Macaca mulatta: one gene and its partners. The protein of the gene in region 3 purifies or fractionates together with the protein of the main gene of each other region. This does not show direct contact. Links are inferred from orthologs where the notes say so. Each region holds a gene or a part of one and is shown on either strand. Other genes may lie near its edges.

The links.
Region 1: the proteins of DNAJB1 (region 3) and BAG2 purify together in Homo sapiens (affinity purification with mass spectrometry; 4 studies listed by BioGRID and IntAct, with this or other methods). This does not show direct contact. The link is inferred for Macaca mulatta from reciprocal best matches to the Homo sapiens genes DNAJB1 and BAG2.
Region 2: the proteins of DNAJB1 (region 3) and BAG5 purify together in Homo sapiens (affinity purification with mass spectrometry; 3 studies listed by BioGRID and IntAct, with this or other methods). This does not show direct contact. The link is inferred for Macaca mulatta from reciprocal best matches to the Homo sapiens genes DNAJB1 and BAG5.
Region 4: the proteins of DNAJB1 (region 3) and PYCR3 purify together in Homo sapiens (affinity purification with mass spectrometry; 3 studies listed by BioGRID and IntAct, with this or other methods). This does not show direct contact. The link is inferred for Macaca mulatta from reciprocal best matches to the Homo sapiens genes DNAJB1 and PYCR3.

Annotation. Positions count from the first base shown.
Region 1 is NC_133409.1:125,116,939-125,120,962, reverse strand, and holds the start of BAG2 (BAG family molecular chaperone regulator 2), read left to right. Parts: upstream 1-1,182; 5' UTR 1,183-1,216; coding exon 1,217-1,329; intron 1,330-4,024. UniProt on the Homo sapiens protein: Co-chaperone for HSP70 and HSC70 chaperone proteins. Acts as a nucleotide-exchange factor (NEF) promoting the release of ADP from the HSP70 and HSC70 proteins thereby triggering client/substrate protein release.
Region 2 is NC_133412.1:176,980,529-176,984,554, forward strand, and holds the start of BAG5 (BAG family molecular chaperone regulator 5), read right to left. Parts: upstream 2,816-4,026; 5' UTR 2,168-2,815; coding exon 2,070-2,167; intron 1,361-2,069; coding exon 1-1,360. Other genes in the region: COA8 (cytochrome c oxidase assembly factor 8), read left to right, coding at 3,184-3,306. UniProt on the Homo sapiens protein: Co-chaperone for HSP/HSP70 proteins. It functions as a nucleotide-exchange factor promoting the release of ADP from HSP70, thereby activating HSP70-mediated protein refolding.
Region 3 is NC_133424.1:15,127,927-15,132,275, forward strand, and holds the start of DNAJB1 (dnaJ homolog subfamily B member 1), read right to left. Parts: upstream 2,843-4,349; 5' UTR 2,757-2,842; coding exon 2,546-2,756; intron 2,400-2,545; exon of another isoform or gene 2,029-2,399; intron 1,457-2,028; coding exon 876-1,456; intron 578-875; coding exon 347-577; 3' UTR 1-346. UniProt on the Homo sapiens protein: Interacts with HSP70 and can stimulate its ATPase activity. Stimulates the association between HSC70 and HIP. Negatively regulates heat shock-induced HSF1 transcriptional activity during the attenuation and recovery phase period of the heat shock response.
Region 4 is NC_133413.1:153,979,052-153,983,302, reverse strand, and holds the start of PYCR3 (pyrroline-5-carboxylate reductase 3), read left to right. Parts: upstream 1-1,411; 5' UTR 1,412-1,453; coding exon 1,454-1,544; intron 1,545-2,845; coding exon 2,846-2,910; intron 2,911-3,805; coding exon 3,806-3,985; intron 3,986-4,211; coding exon 4,212-4,251.

The DNA of each region.
Region 1 (4,024 bases), on a different chromosome or scaffold from region 3:
AAACTAGCCGGGCGTGGTGGCGGGTGCCTGTAGTCCCAGCTACTTGTGAGGCTGAGGCAGGAGAATGGCGTGAACCCGGGAGGCGGAGCTTGCAGTGAGCTGAGATCCGGCCACTGCACTCCAGCCTGGGCCACAGAGCGAGACTCGGTCTCAAAAAAAAAAAAAAAAAAAAAAAAAAAAAAAAAAAAAAAAAAAATTAAAAGTTGAGGACTTCTTAATGCCAATTATTTCACTCAGAATATTTATTTATTTATTTATTTATTTATTTATTTATTTAGACAAGGTCTCGTTCTGTTGCCCAGGCTGGAGTGCAGTGGCGAGATCTCGGCTCACTCAACAGGAATAATTTTAATAGCAAAAATTAAAAACTCCTTCATTAAGTCGGGCGTGGTGGTTCACACCTGTAATCCTTAGAATGATAAAAATGAAGTAAATTCACTTTGTTTCCTACATCTACCTAGATAGGGAAAGATGGAGTAGCTTTTTCTTTTTTACTTAATAGCTTCAGCGTTGTCCGAGCATTCGTTACTCTCATCTTAGTATAAAGTGGTAACAGGAAGGTCAGGTGAGTGTGGGCTGCCTAGGAGCTGCACTTAACTGCCTTCTGTTTCACAAAAGGACCTTTTCTCCCTATATCACAGGACCCTTAATGTCGTTGTTCTTGCTTTGAATTATGGGTGCTGGAAGAAACTAAACGAAGCCATCACTGAGCAATACACCCACAACCCATCGACCGATAGGAACCTTCGTGTGGGGGAAGTTGGTTACTTTTAGGCTGCACGAAGAGGCGGGGCCACGCGGGGCGGAGCTGGGGGTGGTCTGTGGGTCCGGGCGGGCTTCGGGTAGTTCCTGGGTCCGAGGAGCAGACGATCCGCTGGCCACATTAGGCGCTCAGTCTCTGCGTCTGCCCCTCCCCGTGCCTCAGAGACTTGCGCTCCCCAGGCCCGAGCCCCTGTGGCCCGCGAACCTCTTAATTCCAGCCGCTGCAGCCCCCTCCCAGGCCCGGCGTCCCCGAGCCCCGCGGGCGCCGCGCCTGCCCTTCTTTGGCCACGCGGCAGCCGCGGTGTCGGCGAGTCCTCCCGGGTTGCCCCCGCGGGCGTCAGAGGGAGGGCGGGCGCCCGCGTGGTGACGGCGACGCCTGCAGCCCGAGGAGCGCTCCACTCGCCGCCGCCGGAGGGGCCGGTGACCTCTCGGCTGCCCCGCGTCGGAGGCTTAGATGGCTCAGGCGAAGATCAACGCTAAAGCCAACGAGGGGCGCTTCTGCCGCTCCTCCTCCATGGCCGACCGCTCCAGCCGCCTGCTGGAGAGCCTGGACCAGCTGGAGCTCAGGTGAGCCGCGGGCGGGCGGGCGGTCTCGGGCGTTCTGCTCGCCGCGCGGGCGGTTAGCGGACGGAGGCCGCGTGTGGCGGGCCGGGCCCTGGGGCACAGTGAGGCTGCGGCAACAGAAGTTGCTTGTTGAGATTTGTTGTGGATGGACGTGGTGTAGTTTTGTTTATTTCTTGGATTTTCTCCCCTTGTCCAAGAGAAAACGCATTGTAAGCTAAACCTGTGAGGGCGTGATGGTGGCCACACTTTGATTAACTTACCTAGGTGTTGGGGAGCAGGAAAAAGAGGAGATAAAAGTTAAGAGGTGAGATTCCATGCGATTAACGACTGTGGCAGCGTGGGTCTGCAGAGCTTCTAGAACCTTCTGTGTGGCCCCAAATGTTTTTAACTTACTCTTCTCCCGTCATACATTTTTAAGGGAGGCAGCAGTTTACAGTGGCCCTCCACGTGAAGTTAAGTTTCCTTGCTTCAGAACACTAAAAGAGCAAAAATGAATAAAACAAAACCAACCCAGCAATCCATTGAGACCAAAGATTAGAGAGGAGTGAGGGGTAGGCAGTAAGTTACCGGGTGCTTCGTGCAGTAAAGACGTTGCGGCTTCTCTTTATCCCCTGACCTGGCGGACGGGATTCCGCGGTTCCGTTTGTCTCTCAGTATTTATTGGGCACCTCCCTACATAGAAGACGAAGTGTTAGTCACTGGCCTGAAAGTATGAAAAGATAGTTTTCCCTTTTTCTTGCTTAAGATTTTATTAGGTAATATAGTAGTAGACTTGTACAGAATTTCTAAACAATATAATGTTAATAGATTTTTGGAAAGACTTTAACGGTATATTGAAAAGTTTTATCTACTTCCTGTGAACGTTTGTCACAAGTTACTGTGTAAATTTTGTGAGCAACTGTAGTTAAAAGAAAACCTTGTTAGGCACCTGGAATTCCCTGAAACTGTACACAGGAGTTGGTTCCATAGTTTTCTCTAGGTTGTGCATGAGCAAAGAAGCATGTGAGCCAAAAAGTTCAGGAAACACTGCATGTGTGTTTTATCTCCCTCCATTAATACACCCAAATATGAAGTGTCCGTTTGCCGAGAAAATACTTCAAAACCACGGCATCTCTTTTAACAAGTAAGGCATTATTATTGTTACTATTGGGAGAAAAGAGCCAGAGAGTGAGAGATTCTCCGCTCAAAATAATTTCTTGGATGGCAGCAGAGAAACCTAAGCCCTACACGAGGTTCTGGGGTTCCACTCAGAATGAGGCAAGTGGAAGAGAGAAATAATGCTTCCTCATGGATTTTCACAATACTAGCAAACCTGACCCGTTCCACTCCCAGAAAAAGTAAAGCGCAAGTAGAAATTGGTGGCCTCAGTTACTGGAAGTCCCTCTAACTGATGTTTCTTTTTAGGGAGCCGCATAACAAGTAACACACCTCTCTCCATGTCTTCAGAACGTTGAGGGCATGTTCTCAACCACTTCACTCGCTCTCCCCTAGTTAGAAAGAAAAGATTTTTTCCTAAAGGAATGGGGAGGATGTTACTCCACCCCGCCTTCCTTCAAGCTGAGTCATTGTCCTCAAACTTGAATTAATGCCTCACATGTGGTAGGTACAAAAGCCCTCTGAAGTGCTCCTCTTAAAAAGAAAGCCTCAGGTTTTGAATATTATTATATTCTAATGTTTGATTAATGTAAAATGAATTCTGATTACTGCACATCAGTGATTAAATTACAACTTGCTTAATTAACATTTGAGCTGAGGAGAAAAGTGATTAATATGTGGCTGTTCATTTCAAGGACTTTTTTTTAGTAATTCTAGACTTTTGTAGGCCTTTTTTTTCTTTTTAAAAAAGTAATACTAGCTGAAAAGGATTTCCTAAGGTAAGCAAAAATAGAGAAAAATGCTAACATTGATCCTATTAAAGTGTTTTTTTGAAACCACATGGGCAATGGCATAGAACACTACACTATTAAAAACTAGAATCATGCGTACAAGATCGATTTTTAAATGAAAACATGAAACTCATATGTAATTTTGCTCTAATAGTTTGATTTTATGTTAACTAATAAAGTAGTGTAACTGGGTAGAATAAAACCTTACCGTTTGTACTTAGAAGTGTGCACGTAATGTTCCCTAACCACATCATCCTGTCAATTGTGGAAGAAATTTCATACTTCATGACCTGGAGTATGAACTGATCTACATGATTAAAATGTTTGGCAGCAGTTCTACAAACTGTTAAAGGATTTCCATTTATCTCTGATGGAATTTATCAGTACACTAGGCTCTTTTTTTAGACTGCATTTTGTCTTCTGTATTTCTTCCTTCTACAGAGGTGATTCCCTTTTCTCCCTGTTTTTATGATCAATTCTAAATGGAGTCTGAGTTTTGCATTCCTCAGTGGCTCAAACCATCTTGCTTATTGTTACTTTTTAACAATTATTGTAATTTATAAAAAATACTATATTACAACTTTATATATATATATATATATATATATATATATATATATATATAATGTTTTCATCCACAGTTCCTGGCTCATAACTCCCATAACCCTTATGACAGTCTTACGTTATAATGTTGGGGTGCTTTAGGCCTCAGGAAAAAGAATCTCTGTCTGACCTTCTTTCGCCTGCCTTGTTTCTAGTCTGATTGTGGGTCAAAAGACCCTCATTCCAGAGAGGGTCCTGTCCCATGCCCT
Region 2 (4,026 bases), on a different chromosome or scaffold from region 3:
TTCATCGGATTTCAGGTCGAGATAGCTGAGAATATTCTGGGCAAGCTTCACAGCCTGTTTCCTGGCAGCCTTACACTTCTCTTCTCCCTGCGGATCAACAGCATCCAGGGCTAGCAGCTGCTTGGTGAGCAGCTCTTCCAGCCGGATGTAGTTCTTATCGGTTCGATTTCCATCAAATGAAAGAACTTCTCCTTGGATCTCGGACAAGTTTCCAAGGACGTTCCAGACGGCTTTATGGGATGGGTGCTCCTCACAAGCAAACAGCTTTCTTTTCTCAAGGGCCTCCTTCAAGTCAATATACGTGATCAGAGTTTGCACCTCGATCACTGCTCTTCTCCTGGCTTCCCGGATGCAGGGGTTTTTTTCAAGACTTACCTCATCCAACTGTCCAATTAAACCCTGCAATTCTGTTTTGGAGCTCAGGTACAATTCAGGAGGGTTTTGTGCTTGGAGAAGTTCATTTTTTATTTCTCTCATTCTCGTGAGGACCTTTTCTATTTTTAAAATAGAATGATTCTGTCTCAGGTCAAATGCTTTAGTCGTGTCTGCTTCCTCTTCCAAATCCAGATACTTCAATAATTTGTTGATATCTTCTACTACCTCCCTCCGATAATTTCTGATTTCTGTCCGGCCGCACACATCTAGAGCATCTAGGTCAGCGATCAGCCCTGAGAGCACACAGGATAAGTGCCTGCAGGTCTCACTGTTGTTCACGCCCATCAGAAGTGCAATCAGGACCCCTCGGGCCTTGTTCACCTCACACATCACAAAGTTGATTTTGGCCACGGAAGGATGTGCATCCTCGGAAAGCGGCAGGGAAGGCTGCTTTTTCATGCAGTCTTCGATAATCTCTTGCACCGCACAGATTTTGGTTAAAGTGTGATACCTTGCTTTCCGCAAGGAGATTTTTCCTCCAGTTTTAACATGTGTCAGCCTCAGAATGATATCCTGGATGCCTTCTTCAAACTCGTCAGTTACGCAGTTGCCTCCATTATAAAATGGCACAATTTTCTCTCTAACGAGGGACTGGGCTTCCTCAAAAATGTTCTGTATTTCAATCCGGTGTGGGTGGTTTGCATTCTGCTCCAACTCTTTGAGAAGACGTTCTGTCTCCTGTGCTGCCCTCTTCCTAGCTTGCTGAATATCTCCTTTTCCTTCAGTATCTACAGAGTCTATTTCAAAAAGTTGTTTTGTTAGAATCCTCTCCAGTTTCTTGTAATTCTTGTCATCTGACAGACCACTGAAGCCGACAACTTGCTGTTCTACACTTTTTACTTCCTTTTGGATTTCCTGAAGCCTACTAATAGAAGGATGTTGGTTTCCCATATCCATACTTTTGTTGTGTTCAGTTTCACAAGCACTAAAAGATGACAAGAATAACTTATTACAGCACAAGGCTTCTGCAGAACACTAATGGTATACTAAGTCATTCTAAAATTCTCATTTTAAAAAGGCATACTTTCGAGCAGTCATCCCACCTCAGCCTCCCCAGTAGCTGGGACTACAGGCGTACACCACCACGCCCAGCTAATGTTATTATTTTTAGTAGAGACAAGTCTCACTATATTGCCCAGGCTAGTCTCAGACGATCCGCCCGCCCCCGCCTCTCAAAGTGCTGGGATTAAGGTGTGAGTCACCGTACGCCGCACAAACTATTTGGAACCGGCAGGGCACCTTTATGCAAGGTGAAACAGTAGCTCTTGTAACCTTCCGAACACTAACAGTACCCCGCCCCGCCACACAGCTATGCCTAGTTTCCAGAAACTCTAAGCAAAATAAACTGAACCAGTAGAACAAAAACCAGTGGCTCTCAGATATCCCCAAGTTCCCGCTTCTTCCCTTTGTGCACTTCCCCTCCCCACCCTTTTAGCTCCTCACACATCTTCCCTCCCAGATGTCTCCCCGAAGAGATAAAAACCCCACAGGTAAAGAAGAGCGACGGGGATTGCGCTGAAGGGCACCACCTTGGGCTTTCGAGGCCCAGCACCTCCTCAGCCCCCAACATGCTCCACTGTCTCAAAAAACTACAACCTGCGAAAATGTGGTAACTGAATAATTCATTCACTCGCCTCCCACTGAGAGTCCACAATCGCCTAATGCACGTTTCAAGCTCTTGGTTTCTATCAAACGGCTCGCTCAAGGTGGGTAACCAATGGAAACGCATCATCCATCCCCTGTGGATGTTCTGGAGGCCACGGAGGGCAGGCGGCCCGAGTTCCTTCCTCCCCGCCTCGCCCTTCCCTCTTGGCTCTTTACCCAGAAGAGGTCTGAGCTGGCTGCGATCTTGGCGTCCCGTGGCTGAGGTGGCGAGGTGGAAGATCAGCCCTTTACGGGGTGCGGCACCGGAGCTGGGCCCCCAGCTGCATCCCTCGCGCCCCTCCCGACTAGGTCTGAGCGGGGCAGCCGGTGAAGGGGCCGGCGGTGAAGGGGCTGCTACTGGCTGCAGCAGCCGCTCCGGGCGTCTCGGCCTAGGTGCCAGGGCGCGCCCGCAGGCCCTGACCTCACAATGGGCGCGCGAGGGGCCCTCGGCCCGGCCGGGGGAAGCCGGGGAAGGAGAGGAGCCAAGGCCCCGCCGGAGACACCAGAGACCAGGCCCGACCACCCCTGGACAGCGTCCGAGCCAGGGACGGGGACGGCGCCGAGACCAACTCTGCTCGGCCTGAGCCGACAGGCCGCGCTGGGGTGGGCGCTGGCAGAGAGGTGGTCCAGCGGGGAGCCCCGCGCCGACGGGGGGCCCCACTCGTCCCCCCGACGGAGGGAAAAGGCCACACGCCGCGCTTCGCTCACCTGTCCTGCCCGCGCCATCGCGCGATGCGTCGCCGACGCTTCCACGACTTCCGCAGCTCCGGCCGTCGCCCGGGCCAGCCAGCCCACGCCCCTGGCCGAACACCCCTAAACCCGGGGACACCTCCTCCGGCGTCCGCGCCTAGCCGCCGACAGCGCCAAGCCCACCGCCAGCGGCGCAGCAAGGCAACCTGGAGTGACAGCGACCAAGGAGCGGCCGCCCGGGTCAGCGGCGCGCCGCCCGCCGCTCCCGTAGCCCGTCGTACCGCGGGGAAAGCGCACGGTCGGCCGCACCGCCGCCCTCCCTCGGGCTTCGCGACCCTGCCGTAAAGCGGTCTCTCGCGCCGTCGCAATGCTGCCGTGCGCCGCGGGAGCCAGGGGGCGTGGGGGCGTGGGGCCATGGTGGCCTTGCGGGCGGGGAAGAAGAGTTTTCTCCGCGCTCTCAGCCGCTCCTTCGTCTGCCGCGGCTGTCAACTCGCTCCGGAGCGCGGCGCCGAGCGCAGGGATACGGCGCCCAGCGGCGTAAGCAAGCGCCTGGGGATATTGGGCCGGGAGGGGTGACCGGAAGGAAAGACAAACCGGGGCCTCGGGGCAGCTGCCTGCCATGCACAGCCGCCTCAGGCCTTTCTGCAGGTGCGCTCGCGTCCGATCCCGAACAGTCCCGCAGCCCCAAGGCTTCCGCGTCAGGGCTCTCGGTCGGATGGGACTGAGGGTGCCGCCGCCACGCCGGAGACTGTTGACAGCCAGAACCTTTAAGCATAAGAGTCACCTGGCAAGTTTGTAGCTATCTTATTTGTTCCCGAGAATGATGATTTTTTATATTTAAAGAGCTCTTGGCTTAGCGTGCATTTTTTTTTCGTGGTGTGTGTGTGTGTGTGTGTGTTTGTGTTTTGGCTTTGTTAAAATTATTAGAGCTTTTATTCAAGCGGTGAACACTTTATACTTTATCATCGTACTTTTGTAGCACTTCACGTTCAATAGTTGTTCTTATTTGCAAACTATGTGTGGGTATATGCATGTTACTGGCCAAAGATCCGCAAAGAATGTCTGTAGCAAGAAAGAGTGGCAAGCAATTTTTATAAGTCATACTTTTGGGAGGGATGTTTTGTTTAAAGGAGGCCTAGGCCTTGATTCCATCTGTCAGATGAAAATGTTGGCTAACGGTGTGGAATGGGCTGGAGATAAAATATTCAAGCAAAGCATGCAAATACCAAACAGGCTAATGAAGGAGGCTGGAAAACT
Region 3 (4,349 bases):
CCAGTCAAAAGCAAAGGGACACAGAGGGATCAAGTCCAGCTGCTGGTCTGCCTCTACCCCTGGACAGGGACTGGAGGAGGAGGATGTGGGCCCATCCCGGGAGGGCTGCCGGACCCAGTGGGGCAGACTGGAATGCCTTTTCCTGCTGTTCCCACCACCTGATGCCCTATCGCTCGAAAAACCACTTTAGTCTAGTGTACGACTTTGAAAGATTGTAATATATGCTCTGGAAAACATTCAGCAGTATGAAAGTCCTCCCTGGGCCCTCCCATGGTCCACAATTGGTAGAAAGGTCCAGAAATCCTTGAGCTCTGGAAAGGTCCCTGGTCAGTCGGAGCTCTGGCAGCTATATTGGAAGGACCTGCTCAAGTACGGTTCTTGATGTCTGGGGAATCCTTTCGGGGAAGATCACTTCAAATTCAATAATGAGGTCCCCACGTTTCTCGGGCGTTTTGGGGAGGGGGAGGCCTTCTCCAGGAACTTTTCGGCGCATGCCAGGCCTGATGACATCTTTGAATACGACGGGTATGGTCCTGCCGTCCAGAGTGGGGACGTTCACTGTGCAGCCACACAGAGCCTTGAAAAGCAAAGGGATAAGCATTAGATGGAAGCTGGCTCAAGAGGCTCAGCTCTTGCCCGGAGACCATCTGGCATAGAGTAAGACTCATCAGGCCTCTGCAGCCAACACCTGGCCCCCAAATCGACATGTCTCCACCATGAAAGCTCCAGAACAGCACCCTGATCACTCCTGTTCACTGTGGTGCCCCAAGCCTGGCAAGCGCCACACACCCAATGCGTGTTCAGCAAAACCTAAATAAACTGCTTCAAAGAGCAGCCATCGCGCTCTGCAGACACCGCCCCACCTGGCACCTTACCTCCCGGAGGCTGATCCTGGCAGGATAAATCACATCAGAGCCATCTCTCTTAAAGATATTGTGTGGCTTGTCCTTTAAAACAAAGACGATATCAGCTGGAATGTTGTTGGAGGTCTGGTCTCCTTCCTTGGGGAAGGTGATTTTGGTCCCTTCTTTCCACCCCTTCTTCACTTCGATGGTCAAGATTTTGTCTTCGTTTCGAATGCTCTTTCCGTCGGGGTTTAGCCGCTTGTGGGAGATTTTCATCTTCTTGGTACAACCGCTGTAGATCTCTTCAAGGGAGACTCGAAGGTCGTGGGTGACTGGGGGATCTTGCTTCTTTCGGGTGGGCTCTTGGGAAGGGCGGGAGCGGCCAAAGTTCACGTTGGTGAAGCCACCCATGCCCATAGGGAAGCCAGAGAACGGGTCATCAATGTCCATGCCTTCCTCCCCGTTCCGCTGCCCAAAAAAGGTGTCAAAGGGATTTCTGCCACCGAAGAACTCAGCAAACATGGCATGAGGGTCTCCATGGAACGTGTAGCTGAAAGAGGTACCATTGGCACCACTGCCGCTACCGCCACTGGGGCCACTGCCCTTTAGGCCTGAAAAGCAGAATTAGAAGCAGTCAGATGGCTGAACAGCAGACTCCCTCTCGAGCTTCCCTTACGGGGGAAAAAAGCTTGGAAGCCATGGGGGAGGAACTTTTTTTAGCCTGCCAGGGGAGAGCAAGGAAGAACCCCAAGCTTCTACCCCTCACTGCAGCAGCAGAGCTGCCCCCCCCCCCACCAAGTACTTCCGCATAGCCTGACAGTGGAAAAGGACTCATGCGGTTAGGTGTCCACCTACAGGTGCCACCTGGGCCCTGCCACTCCTGGACTGACCCATCCTCCTGGCAATGTCACCAAGGGATGGCTAAACACACACGGTCCAGGGTCGGCTTTCGGTATTTACTTTCAACATTTTAGGACTACTGATGTGTACGAAGAGTGAAAATAAGGAAAAAAAAAGATGTAGAGTTTTTAAACCCTCACACTAGCATTCACTGCTACCATCCTTGCATAATAAGTCAGTCCCAGATCAAGCCCAGAAGCCAGCCTGAGTCATCAAGGGGCACAGGGACAAAAAGCCCCACTCTCCGTCCCCCCAAACCCCCAGGCGGCCCAGCTCTCCGCACCTAGGCGGCCGCTGCCTCCTGCGTGCCCGGCCGGGACCAGGTCATCACTTCCCGGAAATCATCCCAGCCCAGCCCCAAGGCCCGCGAGCGGGGTCGGCGCCTGCATTTACAGCCCCGCGCCCCGCAGCTGAGCCGCAGGCGCCGCCCTGCGGACCCCGGCGGCTAAGCCCAGGTGAGCTCGGGTCCGCAGCAGGCTCCGCCGTGCCGTCCCCGTCGTCACCCCCGGCTCCCCCACCCCCCTGCACCGCACCCCGGGGCTGCTCGGGGCCGCGGGAAGAGGCGCCCGGGGAGGGGCAGCCTTAGACATGCTAGAAGCTTCTGGGCGAGCGGCTGGGCCAAGGCTCCTCCCCCCACCGCACGGCCGCCAATCCAAGGGCGGAGGCCCGAGCGGCCGGAGGGCGGGGCAGCTCGGCCCCCGGGCCCGGGGCGTCCTTCCCGGGGGGCCGCCGAGAGGGGCCGGTATGCCTCGGTTTCCCTGTCAAACGGCGGGACCGCGCCCCTGGCCGCGCGCACACACCTTCCTCTCCGTAGCGGTCGAAGATCTCGCGCTTGCGCGGGTCGCTGAGCACGTCGTAGGCCTCGGCGATCTCCTTGAACTTCTCCTCGGCGCCGGGCTCCTTGTTCTTGTCCGGGTGGTAGCGCAGCGCCTGGCGGCGGTAGGCCCGCTTGATCTCCTCATCCGACGCGCCGCGGGCCAGGCCCAGCGTCTGGTAGTAGTCTTTGCCCATGGCCCCCCGCTGCGGCCCGCCGACCCGCTGTCGCCGTCCCCCGGCTCCGCCGCCGCCCGGTCCCGGACTCTATATACCCGTCCGGCGGAAGCTTCCAGAGCCCGCCAGCCCCCTCCAGAACCTTCCGCCCCGCCCCCCCGCCCGCGGCGCCGGCCAATCGCCGCCACCCTTTCCGTGACACGCGACATCCGGGGCGGGGCTTTGCCGTCAACGGCCGCCGGCGCGGGGCCACGCCCCCTCCCGCTCCGCCCTCGACAACGCCTCCCGGCGGCGCGCGCACAGGTCGGAGGAGGCCCCGCCCACCTTCCGGGACGAGCCAATCGCGAGCTTCTTTCACACTCTGCACCGCCCCAGCGACCCTGCGTCCCGCCCTCCGCCTGGGTCAGTGGGTCAGGAGCCGTCGCGAAGGTGATGTTCCGGGAAGGGGTGGGGCCTGGGACTAGCCTGTCTTTTCCCCAGGAGGTGATAAACCTTCCAGCCCTTGTCTCGCGGGACCTGCGGTGGGCCTCCGCCGGGTGACGCCGGACGAACAACCTAACCCGCGTCTGCTTAACCCAGGGGTCTCTTTCTTTCTACAATATGGCAATAAGAGAACCTGACACGGAGCCTCACGACTGTAATTTCCATCACTTCCTGAGGCCAAGACAGGAGAATCTCTAGGGCCTAGGAGTTGGAGACCAGCCTAGGCAACATAAGCAGACTCCGTTTCTTTTTAAAATAAACAAACAGGCCGGGCGCGGTGGCTCACGCCTGTAATCCCAGCATTTTGGGAGGCCGAAGTGGGCGGATCACTTGAGGTCAGGAGTTCGAGACCAGCCTAGCCAACATGGTGAAATCCCGTCTCTGCTAAAAATACAAAAATTACCCGGGCGTGGTGGCACGCACCTGTAATCCCAGCTACTCAGGAGGCTGAGGCCTGAGAATAGCTTGAATCGGGGAGGCGGAGGTTGCAGTGGGCCGAGATCGGGGCACTGCACTCCAGCCTGGGCGACAGAGCGAGACTCCGTCTCAAAATAAAATACATAAATAAATAAATAAGTAAAATAAAACAAAATGAACAAACAAGGAATCCACCAGCGCTATTTTCCCAACTGTGGGGAGAAGGATGTTGGGACAGAAGACTGCCTCTGTTCTCCCTTCCTAAAGCGAGGTGAGGATCTGGGCGAAAGCTCACCTCCCGAGGTCCTCCCAGTCCCGCCTTCTTCACTTTACTGCCCTCTCAAGAGCACTTGCTGCTAAATTAGAAATTTATTTTGTGGCCGGGCGCGGTGGCTCAAGCCTGTAATCCTAGCACTTTGGGAGGCCGAGACGGGCGGATCACAAGGTCAGCAGATCGAGACCATCCTGGCTAACATGGTGAAACCCCGTCTCTACTAAAAATATAAAAAAACTAGCCGGGCGAGGTGGCGGGCGCCTGTAGTCCCAGCTACTCGGGAGGCTGAGGCAGGAGAATGGCGCAAACCCGGGAGGCGGAGCTTGCAGTGAGCTGAGATCCGGCCACTGCACTCCAGCCTGGGCGACACAGCGAGACTCCGTCTCAAAAAAAAAAAAAAAAAGAAATTTATTTTGTTTCTTGGCTTTCAATGTGTCCTC
Region 4 (4,251 bases), on a different chromosome or scaffold from region 3:
AGCCCCTGTCTGAGCATCCACCCTGCCCTGCTGGGATTATTTGTCTGCAAACTTCTGGGAGTCCTGCCTCAACCCCCACCCCTCATGCCAACATCCCAGGACCTGGAGCTCCAGGAGGTGGGTTGGCCTCGTTCACAGTGTATCCCCTGGCACCAGCCCTTTGTGGATAAAGGCTCTGCCCATGTGGGGGTTCAGGAAAGGCCTCCTGGAGAGGGTGGTGCCTGTGTGGCCACTTGGATCCGCCAGGTGAGGAACAGTGGGAAGAAGCCCAGCCAAAAGCAGAGGTGCCCTGGACACAAGCCATGGGTGGCTGGGTGTCCAGGTCAGCTAAGGGCTCCTAACGGATGCTCAGAAGCCTGGCCCAGCATGGGATGGAGAAGCTGAACAGGACTGGGCCTTCTTTTACTCACTGTGGCCCTGGGCACTCGGCCAGCAACCCTCCTTCACCTCGACTCGGTGTACTTGTTTATGATGAGCTTGTCCTTATGTATGATGGCATGGCACTGGATGCCTCCGGCCCCTTTCACCTCCCCATAGCCTGGGTCCCAAGCCATCACTGGCCCAGGGGGCCTGGGAGAAAATCCAGGGGGTCTGTGTGGGAAGGGGCTGGCAGGATCCAAGGTGGCAGGAGAGACAGCTGCCGACAGTGTGCTGGTGCAAAGTGTGCACCACCCACATTTCTTGGCCGCGGTGGCTGAAGCAGCCTTGTGGTGGCTTTCTATCCCTCTCTACGTCATTTGCTTTAGAGCCTTGACACTCTGGCCGTCCTGCGTGTGTGCTGACTGTAGTCCGTCTATACAGCCAACAAGCAGGGCTGCAGGGTGGGGTCCAGTCTGTCCCATCTGCTGCTGTGGGGTGGCCTTGCCCAGGCCCAGAGCAGGGCCCAGAGGCTGCAGCTGCACAGTAAATGTTGAATCAATGAGAGGATTTCATGACTGAAGAGCTTAGAAAACGTCAAAGGCTTCAGAAGAAAATAACATCGGTAACATGCAGCCTTAGATTAGATGATGAAAACAAAACCGCACTCAGATCTTCAAGCCTTATTTTCCTTGTGTCATTAAAAATGACGCCCCCCCTTTGCGACTGTCCCCTCCCCTTCCCGTCGATCTCAGGCCCCTGGGCCCGGCCAGCTCTCCGTGACCTGGGCCTCCACCCCTCGTGCTTCCCCGCGGCTCCACCGCCTGTCGTCGGCGGGGCCTCAGTGACCGCACGCTGCGGACCAGCCCCGCCACCCGCTTCGCTAGCCCTCCCGTCCCGAAAACCAAGATCCGGACCTCGCACGCCCGACCGGGACCCCTCCGCGCTCCTCCGGCCCCGCCCCAGTTTCTCTCAGCCAATGGACAGTGAGGGGCGGCCTGGCCGCTTCGGGCCAATAAGCAGCGAGAGGCGGGGTCCCCGCGCCCTGCGAACCAGTAGAGTGCGGACAAAAAGCCGGCCGGAGCGGGGCGACAAGATGGCGGCTGCGGGGTCGGCTACGCGGCGCGTGGGCTTCGTGGGCGCGGGCCGCATGGCGGGGGCCATCGCGCAGGGCCTCATCAGAGCAGGTGGGGCGGCGCGGGGCTGGGCCTGCGGCCTGGCGTGGGAGTAGCCCCGTGGGAGGTGCCCTGTCGCGAGAGTGGGGCCGGAGGCGCGAGCCCAGCCACTCGGGTCTCAGCTTCGCTGGGTGCAGCCGGAGTCACGCCTTTTTCCTCTTACTTTTTTGACGTGGCTGCGGGAAGATTTGAGTTACACGTGGCTAGGTGCTGCTTCCGTGGCCGGCTTCCTGGCCGCGTGGCCTTGGCCAGGCTCACCTCTTCCAGCCTCTGATGTTCTCTTTGCGCGCCAGCCCCTCTCCGAGCAGCAGGGCTTCTCTTCCAGACACCTTAGCTCTAGGGACACCTGGGCCAGATCATCCATCCTGTGCCAGTAGCACTCCCCACGTTGTGACAGCCAAAAAATGCCTCCAGACACTGCCGAATGTCCCCTGGGTGGCGGGAGGAGACAGGTAAAGTCATCCCCTGTTGAGAATCACTGCTTTATGGCCGGGATATTTATGCTGACCATATACTTCTCCAGGCATTTAGAAGCCTCTCTGCAGATTGTGGGTAGGGAGAGCTGGGTGACTCTTGGCGCTCTGCCTTCAGCCGTACTTCAGGGTCCAGAAGAATCAAGATCCATCAGGAAATAGCTTACTGTGAGTTTTACCTGTGAAACCCGGCAGTACCACATGCCTCCCAGAGCTGTACTGGTTAAATGAGACAATATGTCTAATGTTGAGCCTAGTACTGGTGTGTATGGGTGGCACTGTCATGATTAATTGCTGTGTTTAGGTTGTAGTGTACACTTCTGTCTTCCTGTTCGACCTTACCAAAATCTAACCCAATCTCTCCACCCCTGTACCCCACAAAAGCAGATGATTTCTACCAAGTAGGCATTTAGCCTCTTGGACATCCCAGCCAGACTCTCCCTCCCGAGGAACCTGGGCCCCCATTGGGCCTTCTGTGGCCAATCAGCTGCCTTTGTACCCACCACACTCCCCCAAGGCCTGGTGTTCCTCTTCTGCTCCAGGCAGCCTTCCCTTCCCTGGAGACAGACGCCCCAGGGATGTGTCCTCACCACCGAGGCCAGCTCCTGGCCTCCACACCCAGCAGCAGTCAGGGGCGTTGACTGCCAAGTAGAATCAATGGATATGATTGCCTGGGCCCAGTGAATGGTGCATCCTGCTTTGGGTTCCTGAGGCCAGGAGGGGGCCCATGATGGGCCCGGCGTGGCTGAGCCTGAGAGGCCAGGTGAGCTCCTCCCTCTCCTCACTGCCATCCTATCCCACCCCCCTCACCAACCCCTCTTCCTTTTCTTTTCTTTCCAGGGAAAGTGGAAGCTCAGCACATAGTGGCCAGTGCACCAACAGACAGGAACTTATGTCACTTTCAAGTGAGCATAGAGCCTAGGTTCTTCATACCCTCCAGAGCCCAGGATAGCGCTTGACTCCTATCCCACTAAGACACCTATTGGAGCCAGAGATGGGTGGTTTATTTAGCTGAAGTTTGGAGACTGGCTGTTCTGGGCTGGGGAAAGGGAGATGAGAGGCCAGGAGGAAAGTAAGGTTGTGGAGGGCCAAAGCAAAGTGTTTGTGTGTGTGTGTGTGTGTGTGTATGTGTGTGAGTGCATGCATGTGCACGTGTGTATATGCGAGTGCATGCTCACATGTGCGTTTGCACGTGTGGTGTGTGTATGTCACTGCGTGTGTGTACGTGTGTGTGAGTGCATGCTCATGAGTACATGCATGTGCACCTGTGTGGTCGTGAGTGCATTCGTGTGCACGTATGTGCTCGTGTGTGTGCGTGCACATGTGTAAGAGTGCGTGCATGTACACGAGTGCATGCTCATGAGTGGGTGTGTGTACACATGTGTGCTTGTGAGTACATGCGTGTGTGTGTATGTGTGTGCTTATGAGTGCATGCATGTGCACGTGTGTGTGTGTGTGCTCGTGAGTACATGTGTCTGCACGTGTGTATATGTGAATGCATGCTCGTGAGTGCATGCATGTGCATGTGTGTGTTTGCATGCTGGGGTGGTGGTCACAGACATTCACTGCGGATGGAGGGCTCAGGGCTTGGGGAGGCGCTGACATCAGGATGGCCTGTGAGGAGCAGGGTTAGTCTGGGTGAGTCTTGGGCATTGGAGAAGTTGGGGTGGTCTAGACACTTGCAATGGGAGAGACCCTGGGACCCATGGGAATGTGTGGCCTCCAGCAGGAAGGGCTGTGGTGGAGAGGGTGTGCCGCTCACACAGCCCCTGAGGCCTGGTCCTGGTATCCCTGGCACAGGCTCTGGGTTGCCAGACCACCCATTCCAACCAGGAGGTGCTGCAGAGCTGCCTGCTCGTCATCTTTGCCACCAAGCCCCACATCCTGCCAGCTGTCGTGGCAGAGGTGGCTCCTGTGGTCACTGCTGAACACATCTTGGTGTCCGTGGCTGCTGGGGTGTCTCTGAGCACCCTGGAGGAGGTGAGTGTCCCTTGGGCTAAGGCCTTGATCCCAGCATAGGCTCTGCTGGCCGGGCTTGCGTGGCAGGCAGCCCCCCAGAGAGCCTGAGGTGGCCGGGTGGCCCACCTGGGTCAAGTGTTTGGGCTTAGGGTTCCCTCCTGGTGCTGTACCTGGGAGGCAGATGCTGGAGGCCTCCCAGCAGGGCCCAGTCCTACAGACTCCCTGATTCTGACCTCTCTCTGGCCAGCTGCTGCCCCCAAACACACGGGTGCTGCGGGTCTTGCCCA